Daphnia pulex: one gene and its partner. The protein of the gene in region 1 binds, or shares a complex with, the protein of each later gene. Links are inferred from orthologs where the notes say so. Each region holds a gene or a part of one and is shown on either strand. Other genes may lie near its edges.

The links.
Region 2: the proteins of methylmalonyl-CoA mutase, mitochondrial-like (region 1) and methylmalonic aciduria type A homolog, mitochondrial-like are in contact, whole or in part, in a crystal structure (PDB 8GJU), measured with the Homo sapiens proteins. The link is inferred for Daphnia pulex from reciprocal best matches to the Homo sapiens genes MMUT and MMAA. Residues at the interface, in NP_000246.2 of Homo sapiens: Lys496, Glu609, Arg610, Glu611, Gly612, Arg613, Arg614, Arg616, Ala635, Thr636, Ala639, Asp640, Gly642, Phe643, Asp644, Val645, Asp646, Ile647, Gly648, Pro649, Leu650, Phe651, Gln652, Glu656, Gln659, Gln660, Val662, Asp663, Ala664, Asp665; in NP_001362573.1 of Homo sapiens: Arg98, Ala99, Ala102, Glu103, Thr106, Glu109, Ser110, Thr111, His112, Ser182, Ser186, Gly187, Gly188, Ser189, Leu190, Leu191, Lys194, Thr195, Met197, Thr198, Ser201, Arg202, Met204, Tyr207, Ile208, Arg209, Pro210, Ser211, Pro212, Arg214.

Annotation. Positions count from the first base shown.
Region 1 is NC_060028.1:10,601,131-10,605,611, forward strand, and holds the start of methylmalonyl-CoA mutase, mitochondrial-like, read left to right. Parts: upstream 1-1,578; 5' UTR 1,579-1,752; coding exon 1,753-1,809; intron 1,810-1,866; coding exon 1,867-2,027; intron 2,028-2,096; coding exon 2,097-2,291; intron 2,292-2,352; coding exon 2,353-2,536; intron 2,537-2,591; coding exon 2,592-2,726; intron 2,727-2,795; coding exon 2,796-2,993; intron 2,994-3,054; coding exon 3,055-3,363; intron 3,364-3,421; coding exon 3,422-3,611; intron 3,612-3,674; coding exon 3,675-3,784; intron 3,785-3,854; coding exon 3,855-4,007; intron 4,008-4,081; coding exon 4,082-4,177; intron 4,178-4,253; coding exon 4,254-4,400; intron 4,401-4,465; coding exon 4,466-4,481. Other genes in the region: uncharacterized protein LOC124210015, read right to left, coding at 160-350, 422-573, 641-741, 810-878. UniProt on the Homo sapiens protein: Catalyzes the reversible isomerization of methylmalonyl-CoA (MMCoA) (generated from branched-chain amino acid metabolism and degradation of dietary odd chain fatty acids and cholesterol) to succinyl-CoA (3-carboxypropionyl-CoA), a key intermediate of the tricarboxylic acid cycle.
Region 2 is NC_060024.1:5,534,286-5,538,576, forward strand, and holds methylmalonic aciduria type A homolog, mitochondrial-like, read left to right. Parts: upstream 1-1,400; 5' UTR 1,401-1,560; coding exon 1,561-1,903; intron 1,904-1,976; coding exon 1,977-2,099; intron 2,100-2,164; coding exon 2,165-2,335; intron 2,336-2,402; coding exon 2,403-2,488; intron 2,489-2,554; coding exon 2,555-2,704; intron 2,705-2,764; coding exon 2,765-2,926; intron 2,927-2,992; coding exon 2,993-3,124; 3' UTR 3,125-3,484; downstream 3,485-4,291. Other genes in the region: nucleolar transcription factor 1-like, read left to right, coding at 1-102, 166-337, 396-533; galactosylgalactosylxylosylprotein 3-beta-glucuronosyltransferase S-like, read right to left, coding at 3,720-3,757, 3,828-3,969, 4,041-4,247. UniProt on the Homo sapiens protein: GTPase, binds and hydrolyzes GTP. Involved in intracellular vitamin B12 metabolism, mediates the transport of cobalamin (Cbl) into mitochondria for the final steps of adenosylcobalamin (AdoCbl) synthesis.

The DNA of each region.
Region 1 (4,481 bases):
AGGGATGTCGCTGGGTTTCATATTTTTTTCTATTCATTCAGTATAATCAACATACATTAACACTCAAACGAATTCATATATTTGAAGAAACAGCAGAAGGCAATGGAAGCTCTTTAAATTGAGCAATAAAATTTTTATCGTTTTTTTTTAATTTCCAACTTACGATAAATTGTGTCCATTGGTCGCGGCGGGTGTTATGGTGACCACTACTGGAATGTTGGTCAATGCGGGTGCTTCATTTTGTTTTTTGTGGGGTTCAATCCATTTAGCATCGTGAATTAATATTGTATTCATACAGAGCGCTGCTACTCCGTAAATGAGGAACAGCGAATCCAGGGCTATGCGGCTGCCTAAAATATAATTAAGATGAGTCATTTTAAATTTCAAATAAGAAAGATTTCAATGTTCTGTTGGTCCTTACAAATAGAATGCCCCATGTACAACGTCGCACCACAAGTGTACCCGGAAGAAATCATGTCTCCGTACAAAGTAAAAGACCAGATATAAAGGCAGATCATGATAATTCCACTCATGGCTGATAAAATGGAAAAAACTAGGACCATAATGTTGTGCCTGAACAAGTCATACATGAATCATTTAAAACGGTGTTTCCGCAATTTTTAGTTTTTTAATTTACAACCTTTTAATGATCACAACTCCCGTTACCATAACGAACATTCCTCCCCATAAACCCGAACCAGTCGTGTCCATTGGTAGAGAGTACATCACAATGGCTGAATACTAAATGAATTCATTCACCGAAAAAATAATTAAGTATAGTCTGTAATAACTGGAAAAAAATTTCTTACCTCTGTCATAATCATCGTTATGCCAAGAAGAATATCAAAAAAGCCGAAAACTTTCACTCGAGTTTCCATTTTTTCTGCTACTTGCGAAAGCGACGCTTGACAAGTACTGAACTATTGTCTGGCCATGACGTTTACCTTAATTCCAGATTTTTTTTTTTTTTTTTAACTTGATAACATTTTTATTTGATATCGAAACACGTCCTTTCAGTCCATTATGTCTGTCCAGTTATCTGTTCGCTTTGTATTGACAGTGTCAGGTGGACGTAAGCCGTCCACCCTTCGATTACCAGGGTCAGTCCTAAAAAACTCTTCCTGGTTTTTATCTGATTATACTTTGAACTCGAACCAAAAAAATTAAATTGGTCTATTTGAGTATTTGAGAAAATTGTTGTTTTAATTTTGAAGATTGCAAATTGTTTCAATTCCCGGAATAATTACGACTATACGTAAATCAGAAATATAAAGTGCATTTGAACGTGCTCCAATTTGTGCGTTTTAAAAACTTCCGGTTAGGAGTCTTGACTTGTAGATCATCATAAATTCATAAGAAATATAAAATAAGAGTTAAATTCATTGACGCGGAGGTTAAGTAGATGGGGGAAATGGGAGATGTTTACCATCACGGAATGGGAAGTGTAATTACCATCACGATATTATAGTTTCATAAAGAGGAAATACATTAGGTATTCACACAGTCATTTCCGGGAAAATTATTCATAAATTCGCGTTATTCTTTACCTAAACGTCCATCTAGCGGCCGTTTTAGATACGAGCAACTAAACTCCACTAGCAGACGATTTTGAAATTTCTTAGGCCACCAGTGTTTTGCGGTGTTTACATTTTGCTGCACAATTTCCCTCCATTTGTTTTCGTCTCCAACACGTTCTTTATTCGATAAGGCGCAATTGTAACAAAAAGTTGATAATTGAAACTGTCTGTTGCCATGGCTTCTTTTCTTTTGAGATATTCTAGCTCACTTCGTTTAATCTCAGCGTCGCAAGTAGAAAAATATTTTCCAACATTGATAAAAAGTTTATTGCATAAATCTTTTGCTTAGGTGAGCCAATTCAGATGTTTGCATAGACAGCCTCTTGATCCTGAGTGGACAGCCTTGGCAAAAAAACAGTTGAAAGGTAAAAATCCAGAGGAAGAACTTCTCTGGTATACATCAGAAGACATCACTTTGAAACCAATCTACACAAAAAAGGATGTTGAAGGGTACATAGTAATAAAATGTTATTAAACTTCACTGATCATAAGAAATCCTAAATCTTTTAAAACAATCAGGCTTGAACATGAGTTACCGGGAAAGTTTCCTTATACTCGTGGTCCATATCCTACAATGTACTCCCAAAGGCCATGGACAATCAGACAGTATGCAGGTTTCAGCACAGTCGAGGAAAGCAACAAGTTTTATAAAGAAAACATTAAGGCTGGTCAACAAGGTTTGAGTGTGGCTTTTGATCTTGCCACTCACTGTGGGTTAGTAAAAACATGTTTTAGTCTTTATTTTCTGATATACCTAATATTCTTTGTATGTTAGGTATGACTCTGACAATCCACGAGTTTATGGTGATGTAGGAATGGCTGGAGTGGCTATTGACAGTGTTGAGGACATGAAAGCACTCTTTGATAGTATTCCTCTAGAGAAGATGTCTGTCTCTATGACAATGAATGGGGCTGTGATTCCAGTTTTGGCAATGCATATTGTTGCTGCCGAAGAACAGGTATGCAAATACATGTTTAAAAATAAATAAGCTGGTAATGATAATATGTTAACAGGGTGTGAAAGCGGAACTCTTATCAGGGACGATTCAGAACGACATTTTAAAAGAATTCATGGTTAGAAATACCTACATCTACCCTCCAGCTCCCTCCATGAGAATCATTGGTGATATCTTTAGTTACATTTCTGCGGTACCAAAATTTTTTGTGATGTCGGCCATCATTCGGCGTATTGTTGATTATTATCATTTTTACATACAGAAAATGCCCAAGTTCAACTCAATCAGTATATCTGGTTATCACATGCAAGAGGCTGGTGCCACTGCAACTCTTGAACTGGGATTCACTATGGCCGATGGCATTGAATACTGTCGAACAGGCTTAAAATCAGGTTTATCAATCGATGCGTTTGCACCACGTCTTTCTTTCTTCTTTGGCATTGGAATGAATTTTTACATGGTAAACAAATCTTGTAACATTTTAAATCCCTTGAATTTGTAATTATCTGTGCTTTGAACAGGAAATCGCCAAGCTAAGAGCAGCTCGTCGTCTCTGGGCTCATTTGCTCCAGGAAAATTTCAGTCCAAAGAGCCAAAAGTCGTTGGCATTGAGGACTCATTGTCAGACGTCTGGCTGGTCACTGACTGCTCAAGATCCGTATAATAACATTGTCCGCACGACAGTTGAAGCTATGGCTGCCGTTTTTGGTGGCACCCAGTCCCTTCACACCAACTCATTTGATGAAGCTTTGGCTTTGCCTTCCAAGTTTTCTTCCCGCATCGCTCGTAACACACAAATCATTCTACAAGAAGAAACAGGAATACCAAAAGTTAGATCTAAAATGTTTTAAAATTGTTTTATATATTTATTGGAAGTTCTCTCAATAGATCATTGATCCATGGGCCGGCAGTTATATGATGGAGAACCTAACTGACGAGGTTTACAACAAAGCAAAACGAATTGTGGATGAAGTGGAGCAAATGGGTGGTATGGCCAAAGCTGTAGCTTCTGGCTGGCCAAAATTGAAAATCGAAGAATGCGCAGCTCGTCGCCAAGCTCAAATTGATTCCGGCTATGGTACTTTTATTTTATTTCCATTCTGACTGGCAAAACTTAATCGCAAATATTTGAATTATTCAGAAACAATCGTGGGTGTAAATAAATATCAACCGGAGAACCCGGAACAAGTAGACGTTTTGATGATCAACAACGAAGAAGTTCGAAACAAACAAATTGATAAAATCAACAAGGTAAATTCTACTTTGCTAACCAAACATTTAAACTAAAATATTGAATCTGTTATTCAATTATTTATTGCAGGTTAAAGCAACCCGTGATTCGGCCAAGGCAGAACAGTGTCTCAAAGCGATAACAGATTGCGCTGCCGGTGCCGAGGGCAATTTATTGGCCTTGGCCGTCGAGGCTTCTCGTGCTCGCTGCACCGTAGGCGAAATAACCCAAGCCATGGAAAAAGTAGGAAAAATCTTTTCTTTATTTTTCTTCTTTGATTTCTACGCATTCTAAAAATGGGGCTTGGTAACCAACAGGTGTTTGGTCGTCACGTAGCGCACGACACGATGATATCTGGGGCCTATAAAAGTGAATTCGCCGACAAGGAGCAGTTTGAAGTAGTCGCCAAAAAGGTAGGTTGAACCAAATTTGAATTTGCATGTCAATTCCAAATGATAATTCAACCGGCGAGGGCGATTCCCGTGATAGATTGATGAGTTGGTGGCCTTAGAAGGTCGTCGTCCACGCATCCTGGTCGCCAAGATGGGACAAGACGGACATGATCGTGGCGCAAAAGTTATCGCTACTGGATTCGCTGACCTTGGCTTCGATGTCGACATCGGCCCTCTATTCCAGGTGTGTCTCTTTCGTTATTCCGGGTGCCCCCCAGTAGAACTTAATGGTTTTTCACTTGTTAAAAGACTCCGCGTGAAGTTG
Region 2 (4,291 bases), on another chromosome or scaffold:
AGAAAAAATGGCTTCAACAACACTGAAATCATCTTCTTTGGCGGCCAGTCATCAATCGTTATTCAAAGCAGAGAAGATGACTGAACCACTTAAACCACCAGCGTAATTGAAATTTCTGTTATACTGTGGAGTGATGGTACCATTGAAATATTTTTTCATTATTAGGAGTGCTGCTGCTTATTACGCTATGACGCATCATTCCAAATTGGGTCAACTTACTCATGCTGAAATCGAGGTTCTTTGGGGAAGGGTGTCTGAGAAAGAGAAGAAGAAGTTCATTGAAGAACTCAAAAAGGTGCATAAAGACTACGTTCGCGAATTTGAAAAATTCATCAGGGTAATTTCAAGCGTTCCATTTTTGTACTAATTTTATGTAATCGAATTTTGTAATTTAGACATTGAATCCAGCCGAACTTAGATCTTATCGCACAATTATGAGAAACCGTGCTCGGGATGAGGAGGAAGAAGTTAAAGAAAGTTCTGACGAAGAAAGTTCTGATGAAGAAAGAAATGACGAAGAAAGAATGTTGTGAACCGACTAGTTCCAATGAAACAAGTGGCGCTTTCTCCGGCGATGACCTTCTAATTGCCTCGGAAGAAGACTAAACGGGCTGATAATGTACCGTTTAAAAGTGTTAAATTGAAATGTTAAATGTTTTTTACCAACCTAGAAACTTCGTTAAGTACCTACCAATTAGTTATTGGTCGTCAAATTGGTGTTGAACATCCGTTAATTCAGAATCTCTAGACCCTTAAAATAAAATGCGTAAACAAAGCCAACGGACATTCTTTCCGATAACCCAGATGGATCTCTAGAGAGTCGGGATCTTTTTTATTTTTCTAGTATACTAGTGGGCTTTCTTTTTCTCGGAATATGCAATACCACACATGTCCAATCGACAGCGGCGCCGTCATTTCTTACTCTTACAAAGTCAAATAATTAAATAAAGATATTCAATTCGGAAAGACCGAAAGAGAGACAGGAATAGGCAAAAAGTAACTGCATTCTTTATATTCATTTGGCTGCTGGGCCTATTCATACGAACGTGGGCCGTTACAGACGACCGAAAACAAACTAAAAAGACATCAACTATAGATATATGTAGATCAATATATAGATTTTTAAAAAATGCAATTTGTATATTTCACAATCTGCCAATACCAATATACCATCATTCGTTAATAACTTAAAACTTTTTTTAAAATGACCAATCCAGGATAAAAATACGCAGTCAAACAGGAATAAACCTACTGCCGCCGTGCCGCGGGACGTTTAGTCGTTTACAAACGTTTTTTGACGCTTAAATAAAATTGGCAACTTCGGACGTTAGGCCAACTCTATTCCAAATTTCCAATGCCTTGAAATTCTGCAACAATGGATTCCGCATTTTAGCCTTTCGCGAGGAGGCAATCGATGTTGTGTTGTTTATTTCGACTGCAAATCGTCGTCTGCTTAATAACACACAACTTGTTTACGTTTTACTTAATTCAAAATTCTCTCATATTAAACCGACCTCAAAATTGTGAGTTTAAAACTGAAGTTGTTGTGAGTGTAATAAAATGCTTAGACAATTTATTCCTGGGGCATACAAGATTCTGAATGGACATAATATATTAACGGGTGGGAGTGGTAGGACGTCAGTAAAAAATATTCATACTTTATCGAGATCATTTCAAATCGTCGTTCAATCATCGCAAGAACTTGACAGTCGGGAGGAAAATGTTGTAGATACACTCTATAATGGTTTATTATCGTCGAATAGAGCTTGTTTGGCTAGATCAATAACTTTAACAGAGTCAACCCATCCAAGAAAACGATTGCAGGCCAGATCCCTGTTGAAGAAAGCTCTGCAGCACTGCAAACAATGTCAACAAAATGACAATTCATTCAGTTTTCGGATCGGTAATAAAATGTGGCTTAGATTTTACAATTTACGAGAAACAAAATTGTTTATTAACTTTGTGATCAATTTCAGGATTATCAGGGCCACCAGGTGCCGGAAAATCAACATTCCTGGAAAACATGGGCAAGTTTCTTACCAGTCAGGGGGAAAAAATTGCTGTTTTAGCAGTTGATCCATCTTCTACCACAAATGGAGGTACATCCAAAATGCCGTGAGCAAAATTAATTTATAGATCAAATTCACTTTTCAGATTTCACTAGGATCACTGATGGGTGACAAAACAAGAATGCAAGAACTTTCACGAGACCTGAATGCTTTTATACGTCCGTCGCCGACCAGTGGACATTTGGGTGGTGTCACTCGTTCCACAAATGAGGCCATAATTATGTGCGAAACTGCTGGTTACAAGACGGTTTTCATTGAAACGGTTGGTAAGCTTCCCATCTCCTTGCCAAATATCAACTAGTCAACAGCAGCTTCTGTGTTCTCAATTTTTAGGTGTAGGACAGTCTGAATACGCCGTAGCGGATATGGTCGACATGTTTGTTGTTCTGATTCCGCCGGCTGGAGGAGACGAACTTCAGGTTAAAACCCCATTCAATTAGCTTTTCTTCCACTTTATGATAAATCTCTTTTTGTTATTCGTTTAGGGGTTGAAACGCGGTATAATGGAGCACAGTCACCTGGTAGTTGTGAACAAAGCCGATGGAGATTTGATGGAAGCCGCGATGAGAATGCAGTACGAATACACTTCATCACTCAAGTTCATGCGACCAATATCACCGAATTGGCGGCCGAAAGTATTGACCCATGTAATTAAATCTTTGAATCAATTCAGTGACATTTCGTTCTGTTTTTAGGTCCTGAAAGTCTCTTCGCTAACCAAAGAAGGACTACCCGAGTTATGGGCCGTCATGCAGGAGTTCCACCAGACCATGTTGAGAACGGGCGAGCTTCTGGAAACGCGTCGCAAGCAGCAGCGCGTTTGGATGTGGAACTACATCACTCAGCATATCATGCAGGTATAGTTCGTAGTCGACCGAGTTGTGTCCCAGTTTGATGTTTGAAGGTTTTTCTGGCGTCTTTAGGTGTTTCGCGAGGATCCCCGAGTCAAGCGCGACATCCACGAAATGGAAAAGAATGTCGAACAAGGCTGCATGACAGCTGGCGAAGCTGCCGAAATATTACTGCATCATTTCGTACCTGATAAAATGTTTTGATTATTCAAATAGATTTACTTGGAAGGTGAATGTATACAGTTGCTTAGTAGTAGCTAAGTACACTCATATTTTACGTTGAAGTTGTTTTCTTAACACTTTAACCAGAATTTACCTACGCTGTTATGATTTACACTAGGAATTGTTAGAGAAATTATTCAGATTTAATCATTAGTATCATTGTATTTAAATTCCATATCTTGTCTGGATAAGCAGTTAAAAAAAGATTCCATGTTATACTCGAAAATCTCGACTAAAATTACGCCATCAGGAAGATTGAATTGCAATAGAAGAACGATTGATTATTGTTTTTTTCTTGTAAACTATCACAGGTGGAATCCATAAATGAGTATATAAAGGGCACACGGTAATTCGTTTTCTTTTTTCTTGCAAATAAAAAAACCTACAAATGACGACGATGCAATCGTTTTTCATAAAAAGTTTTCACTCGGCGTTACACACATTCCCATCAATTTCTCCGATGTCGACAATCTCGTAGTTTTAAGTCTTATTTTTTCCAATGGCACTGAGTAAACACAGGAAGTTTTATATAATTTTTGACTCTTTGAATTCCGCCGCCAGGCGAAAGTGATTAATATCAGACATCTGTCAGATAGTGCACAGAACTGGGTTTTCCTGTTGGGTAATTCAAAATAAAAAGATGAGACAATATTTCAATAATCAATAATCAACATGAATGTTATACCTCTTGAAGTAGAGAAAGAAGCTAGTTTATTTTCGTCTAAAGCGTGAAGCAGTCCCGAAATGGAAGTATCGTCTATAATAAGGGTGGGTGGCTGTAACATGGCCATAGGCACTTGAACGGTACGAGTGTGCCACACTAAAATCTGTTCAAAATAAAATAAAATTTGTTTTCAATTTAGTTTCTGACAAATTAAATGATACAAGGTTGAACTACCTGGGTACAGTTAGCTGCTTTGGCTTCAATGAAACCAACATCCGTGACTATTTCTTGTAAAAAGCTGTCCTCCTCGAAACCGACTTTATAAACGAAGGTGGCGTTGGGAAACTGGTGGAGCAATTTGATGTTGACCGCAAAGCCGGCCATGTCAACTGCGAAGCGACGGCCGGCTGGCCACGAATCGTAAAAACCGACCACTTTCCCCTGTCACAAACAATATCAATTCATCAGGCCCGAAATAGAAAAAT